Neodiprion lecontei: one gene and its partner. The protein of the gene in region 2 purifies or fractionates together with the protein of the main gene of each other region. This does not show direct contact. Links are inferred from orthologs where the notes say so. Each region holds a gene or a part of one and is shown on either strand. Other genes may lie near its edges.

What was found. Proteins that work in one complex are often made in the same cells at the same time.
Region 1: the proteins of glycogen synthase kinase-3 beta (region 2) and GSK3-beta interaction protein purify together in Drosophila melanogaster (affinity purification with mass spectrometry, with the first as the bait; 3 studies listed by BioGRID). This does not show direct contact. The link is inferred for Neodiprion lecontei from reciprocal best matches to the Drosophila melanogaster genes sgg and CG11523.

The regions. Positions count from the first base shown.
Region 1 is NC_060264.1:26,315,552-26,318,387, reverse strand, and holds GSK3-beta interaction protein, read left to right. Parts: upstream 1-1,672; 5' UTR 1,673-1,790; coding exon 1,791-2,141; 3' UTR 2,142-2,192; downstream 2,193-2,836. Other genes in the region: F-box only protein 39-like, read right to left, coding at 1-108, 174-338, 416-648, 756-947.
Region 2 is NC_060265.1:25,392,378-25,397,187, reverse strand, and holds the start of glycogen synthase kinase-3 beta, read right to left. Parts: upstream 3,093-4,810; 5' UTR 1,119-3,092; coding exon 932-1,118; intron 1-931.

The DNA of each region.
Region 1 (2,836 bases), on a different chromosome or scaffold from region 2:
GCCAAGGGTACAGCGCTGGCTAAAGCATTGAGGGCACCGTCCGATAAAGCTGGATAATCTAGTTTCAGAGTTGCCAAAGCTCGTAGTCGACCAAGTAAGCGCAGATACCTAGAAAGTAGATCCGACTTAAGGAATCTATGAAACTCTTATATTATGTGGTGAAAAAGAATCACCTGGGGTTGCTGTGAGGTGCTTGCCATTCCCTGAAAGCACCTCGAAGATCCAATGACTCTAGGCGATTCCCAGATGCTCTTACCGCAGAGCCCAAAATTCTCAAAACGTCACTGACTCCTAAATTAGCATTCAATAGGTTCAGAGTCTCAAGATTGTGCTGGTAGCTGTGATGATAAAAAATGTCTCGTGACAGACGCTTTATTGTTTTTTATTTCTGTCATTCATTCTTTGTATTGCTCACCCTAAGAAATTAGCTAACGCGCATAGAAGTTTTCCTCGATTACCCCACTTGCAACTGAATACCCAGTCGGCGAGGATGAGCTCTTTCAATTGCACATCTTTCGTTCTAATGACGTTGAGGAAATCTGCACCCGCTTCTGACTGAATGTTACGTGCAAACCGTGTCTCCCTTGGAATTACATATGGCCTAGACCAAGCTAACTCCAGGCGACGCATGTACTGCCCGTACTTGACCTTGGGATAGAAAATTGAAGATGTTTTAACATATTATTGGTAGGCAGATTTTTGACATATTAATGGCCAGGATTCTGAAAAAAATTATCATTGCGCAAGGTAACCACCGCAAGCTCTTTTGCAAGTGGTAATTCACCACGCAGATCACGATCGATGAGGACTGTCACTGAGCGCCAAAGAATGGGTGAGGACATGGCATGCTTCCATGATTTGCAGACCTCTCCCAAATTTGCCCGGTCTCTGCTGTTTAAGTGCCTGAATATTTCTGTAAGTATCAGCTCTGGCAGCTGATCCCACATCTCCCAGCTTCAATCTGTCCTGACCTCATCTCATATCATCGTCGTTACATCTGAAGTACCTCTTTCTCATCGGTCATCATTGCCATCTATATCTACTCACTCGGTTGTACCAGGTGTCTTAAATTTTATGCAATTCAATCTTATTGTTAGACCAAAATTACAGTTTGACGTAAGAACATGGGTGTGACTCAGCAGTATATCATTAAAAAAAACTGGTGATGTCAGGTAAGATAATACATGAATGTCAAGGTACAGGAAGCATTCTGTCAGTTATGAGGTTCTCATTTTGTTGAATAGTTATTGTGAAGTAAAAAATATGACTAGAACGTACATTCATAATTCAATACAATTCTCTTGCGGTAAGAAATTGAAGAGTATTTTTTCAAATAAGAAAATCTGATCTTTTCTCTTATAATTAACGATTTACAAGAAAAAATTTACCTTAATTTCATTGCATAGTTATTACTCATTGTTAATGGCTCGCTGTTAGAGATCAATTTATTAACTATTCATCACCAGATAAATAAGACAATGCAGGATAAGGGTTGAAAAAAAGCAATATCAATAAAAATAAACTGTTTTATACCTTTATTAATTTTTTATCAACAAGATTATGTCTTACATATGTTGATACGATATTTTTCATTTTACTAATATATTACCGATTTTATTTCAGTAATTTGAATATTTGAAAAATTAGTAAAATCTTCACATTTCTGTACCAATCGGAACACCGAAACACCTACCTAACCTGACCCGTATTAATATACACGTAGTCTGTTGGTTAAATTTGTTGTTTCGTGTACAGAGGCGAAAAACTAGAAATAAGTAGCACAGGCTAAAATGGAAAGTAGTGAAGACAAAGTATTTGATAAGGAGCAGTGGAAACTTGAGGCAGAAGCGGTGATAGCTGATGTTAAGTGCCACGTCAAAGAATTGAAATTATCAGACAAACTACCGAATACGAACAATCGTGTGTATTTAAACTTGACGACGCTGGAAGAAGTCAAATATTGCGTAGAACTGTCGCCCCTCGGTTTTGCCGTCGTAGATAAGACATACGACAGCGATTTGAACCGAGAAGCTCAATATTACGAAACCCCTTACAGCCTGCTGAACTACATCAGCCCTGAATATACGCGGTCCTTTGGATTGTTGCTCCACGAAAAACTTAGCAAAATCACACATAAATAATGCAATAAATACGGTGTACCGTCGTACAAAATAAAAGCGATCATATTCGAATCGTTGTCCAGAACTGATTCATTTACAATCTTTCATGATTACATCATAACCTGATTATCACAAGTTCGCATGTTCATCATAACCTCAAAAGCAAATTATAGATCTTTCTATTCCACGGTGTAAGAATAAGAGGTGGTCCCGGTGGTTCGGTCCGACTCGCGCCGGATGCTGTTATTATTTTAATACAATTCAACAGTCGAGTCCAGGTGTCGCTTGTGCCGAAAATTTAAAGCGTCTTTCAGAACAGTTTGTATCCACGCTAAAGTTAACGTCACACAATTCATCAAGTTCACTTTTTAAATAAATTATGGTTTTTGGGAGCGCCGGACAACGATAATGGTGTTTCCGAATGCCGGCATCTGTGCTGACATTAGGATACACAGCAGCACTTTCCAATATTTTTCGTCACGTGAGAAACCTGGCAGAGAGCCAGGAAACCTTATTTAAATAATCCTTAGTCTGTGCCCCCTGACACACGTTGCTAAAAGCGGTTCGCAAAATGTCCCTCGATTCTGCCGCCAATTCCCACCACTAGTGGCGCTAGTAGTTACCTGACGAGCTTGCGCGCGGTTAGCGAGGACAGCGAGCGTGTCAGAAGTCTACTAGCGCCACCTAGAGGAACTAAAAAACAGGGACAAGACGCG
Region 2 (4,810 bases):
GCACAATAAATTAATGCATAAAACCAAATGAATATTCAGATCGTACGAGGAGCTGAAGTTAAGCAAACGTCTCGCTTGCCAACGCGTATATTTATAAGCATATAGTTCGAACAGTACACCTACTTCAACGACAAACAGCTACGTTTCACAAAGATTCACCTAGCCTTAAGTCAAACGTAAGCTTTAGAACATAAAAAAAGGGGGAGAAAATTACAACCGAAGTAGCTCTCGGCTTTTGACTTTTATGAAAGCAATAATTTTTGACTTGGGTAAACGTGGAAGCTTGTCGACTAGTTTTAAGCAGATCACTTTGCGCTGGCAGTTTGTTTTTCTAACTTGACCGTTATAGAAATCATCACGATAATTGTGTAGACTCGGGATTTGATAAAAAAAAAAAAAACTTTGATCAACCGTATGAAAAATTATCCACAACATTCGTAATTTGTTAAGAATTCATTTGCGAGTTACGAGAGCACTTTTTAGCAAATTAAGCAGCAATTAACGATATTGGAGTAACGACATCTTGTCATCTCTGTGCAAGTTGTTCATTTCATACGCATCCATGACTATTTGTCTACAATAATACACAATAATCGGTTTAAAATTTATCCGTCACAATAAAAATTCGTATTCGCGAGACAAAAATACAGACAAATATATCAAGCACGCGATGCGAACACGTGGTTTGATGTATTAATGGCACGTCTAGATGTACCGAAATATTTCAAAAGCAGACAACAACAAATCTCCATTTTGCTTGTTTCACTCACATTCACGAGCGAGGGTCAAAGCTCCGTCGGAATTTCTTTCTCATTTTATAATCTTCTTCGAAACAACTCCACGAACTAGTATGATAATAATTTATTCATGGATGAAAAAGATCACCCGCGTTATAGCGCATTATATATAGAGCGTGAAAAAAAAAACTTACGTTTTTTAACACCGAGATTTCGTAAAAATTTGCAAATCTTCTTGTAGGCACTGTCGGCCTCCTTTTCGTTGACTTCCAACGTGCTTTTCGACGCTGGTTTATCGCCCCTTTGACCCGACAGACAGAATTTTGGATAACGCCATTCCTGGCGCGGTTCTGACCAATTCAACGTGTTCGCGGGCGCCATTTATTTGTTTGTTTTATTTTTTTTTTTAACAACTTTGTACAAGTATATCGTTCAGTGTACTGGATTATTTCACGTTTTAAGGAAGGTTATACGGTATTTTGCCAATATTCCTATTTCCGCTTCGTTATAAACTGGTTTGGTTACACGTGTTACAAATATGTATACACACACACGGTGAATTTCATTCACGAATTTAAAAAGAAAAATGCAAATCGATCCTTAAATCTTACGGACTCAAAGTCTTGGCTTAACCGTCGTAAGCCTGTAAAATCTTCGTTTATATCCGAGTGATATCACTGGAACCACCACGAATTATTATACATGTGTAAACACAATATTTCGAGACTGACGAACATTTTTATAGGATTTTAAAAAGCAAGAATAGTATTACGGAGAGAAAAGAGTTGAATAATATTCTTCACCTCGAGTAGATATTGAATTATGGATTAGTTGTTGAAATTTGATTATTCGCCGTTTTAGTTTATCAATAAGATTTCCACTTCTCGTCACTCTATGGTTTATACGCAACAACACGTGAGTGATGTATAAGAGGCTGTATAAGATTTTATTTTATAATGTATGTATATTTTTTTTTTCGTCTCCGTTATACATCAACAGTTCAATTTACTTCCCCGTGAACATTTGACGAATATTGTTTGTTCGCGGTAAATATTTTGTCAGCGAGTCGGCTCTATTTTTAGCGGTCTGCACGCAGAATATGAGCGATATCAGTTGGTGCAAATAAAGATTTTTCTTCTCTCCTTTTTACGTTTCCACCACTTTCGAGATGTTTCATTTGAAAACAAAAAAAAACGTACTACGTGTAAAACACGCTCAAATATTTATTTGCCGTATAATATATCAGCAATAAAAACGAGCCGTGGCGCCGCTGGATTAAATCGCGTATGTAAAGAGAGAAGACCAAATATTATAATCAAATACACTAGATGTGATAATTTTTCCACCTTCGATACCGGAGTGTTGATTTTTATCAGTTTAGTATATTATCATTTATTACAGTCTCCGCGTTAATAGTCGTTCGATTTCGCATATTTGTATATGCTATTCTAATTTCACACACTTGGTCCGTGCACTTGCGACGCTATTATTGGACACGACGACGACGACGACGATGAGCACTGGAAGGCGAGACGAGGTTTAATAACACATGCGACACCACTCTCGATACGATATCCAAATCCAAACAATATATTAATTTTATTCAACGCTGTAGCGCGAAGCCGGGATCGATAAATAATTCACCAGTAACGCAAATCCCTGTTTCTACCGCTGCACAGCGCGATGGATGTCCGGGAATACACTGTAGTCAGGCACTGAACGAACGATTCAGTTACATACGTCACGGCATTTAAACGAGTAATGTATAAAAACGGAAAATTACAATAATGATGATTAAAATTACATTATCCACTTGTGAAGAAGAAATGCGATACTTTACATTTCACGTTTGAATGTTACTCGTGATAACGACGCACACAGCATTCACGGACACAGAATCTTATCGCCATTCTTCCTTTCTTTTTATCCTCTCAACTCTTCGTTTCTTTTTCAAATCTTCACATACGAACTATACCTATATACAGTTGCGTGAAATTATTTCATCATTAAAATATAAGCGAAAATATGTTAAGCGCGTATGTTTCCTTCGCATTGCAAATATGATGCGAGCGACGCGGTTCGCGGTTGAAGAAAAACACAAATTTTTCACCAATTTCTTTTGTCATCGTTTGTTCACATGTCAGTGATTAATCGCGCGGAGATTAATGAGGGAATGTTTCTAAAAGTGAGAAAAAAACCAGCGAGAACGGTCGATACCCCGAGCAATATACACAGATTTAAAGGCAGTAAAGTAAGAAACTGTCGTCGCCGGGTTGAATAACTGTTCACATTTTTAGGTCAGTTCTGGGGGCGACCTGTACGCGGCCGTCTGTTCACCGATCTGATGATATAGCGACTGACGATGAGGGAAGAGGTTGGCTTAGGAGAGAGAAACAGAGAGAAAGAGAGGCGTTTCCGAACCGAGTGGGGAGAATAGACCGACTCGTGTTAAACGTACGTTTACTATACCGCGTACATGTACGATGATTGTACATAGATAAAAATAGGCACAAACCATGCGATTCGAAAAATTCCAAATAACACGACGTGGCATTGGCATAGCTGTATGTGCGTAATAATTGGGAGGGAAATTCTCTCTGTCGGTAAAATCTTTGTTTCACCGAACACAAGCAGCTTTGTTTTTTCTTCTATCCAATTCTATAGTAAATATTGTTGAAAAGTTTGTTGAAAAAACATTCGATAATCAAGTGTAGCAAAAATGGGAAGTGTGTAAACAGAGCCTTGTTTTTTTTTATCATGTGGATAGTGGTCAGATTCTTGGAGGGTTTTGGGGTAATAATGATTTCATTTTTACTTGCGGTATAATTTCTATTAAGAGTCGCCGACGAATGGAAAAACAAAAAATTACAAAACCTGTAATACGAGACCGTGGATCAGACGAAATATACGAAATATACGAAATATACGTAATATGAGAAATATTTTTCCCCAGCACTTAAACTGCGTTATATGCCATACGTACAAAGAAACAAAATTTTCAAATCAAAAGGATTACAAATATATTAAATTGTCTTGAAATTTGCGAGAATGTATGAATTAAATTCCTGGTCCCTCTCTCCCTCTTTCTCTCTTCGTGTAATTAATAATTCAACAGCACAGATTACAGTTAATACAATAATAAGATAGTTAATAATAACAATCAATATATCGTTAAATATCTGCAAACGTCGCTCTCTATATTTATAAATACACGGGGGATAGGGAAAGCAGCGCGTCGCAACGAAATTGGCAAGGATGGAGAAAATCGTCGGCAACCGTCGATATTTCGCCTACGTCACGAGGCACACAAGGCACCTTATACGTCATCATTTCCATACCGCATACACATACTATGTATATTCGCGTACGTACGTAGAATCGTTCGCAGAATCGCACATACACACAATCGCACTTGGCAATAACAACGATTGCGGTACGATCCGGGGGTGAGACAAAGAAACAAAGATCGACGCAAAGTCCGCGCAGGAAATTTGCAGAAAACGCGAATGACCGCATTACGTACGTGTATACGAATGCGTGTGTGTGTCTATAATTGCACGCCTGTTGTACCCGACAACTCGCTTCTCGGATCCCGCAAGGCGGGAATCAGAATCGCGTATTGTGTGATAGATTTTTTCCAATTCTTTGAAAAAAAAATTTACAACATGCACGTACACACGTCACGACTATATCTAACATGCCAAATTTACAGTACGCAGGCATATTATCCGCTGCTAACGACCGCGCGTGGAAAAAACTTGAAAGGCGCGTCTCTCGCCAAAAAGTTTTTACTTGCTAACCGTGAGAAAAATCGCACACTATTATATATATTTACGAACAAAAAATGAATTATTGAAACCCACCTGATTCTTATCTTATTACATTATACCCCCAGTATATCCAATCAATTTCCAATGCTTGCATCAGTTTTTCCCTATATATATATATATATAATTCATACATACATACATATTCTAATATATATGTATATGTAATGAGAAAACGACGCGTGGATAGATGCAGGCAGGATTCGGCGGATATGCTCGAGGGCGTAACCGCGAGTTTCAGACACG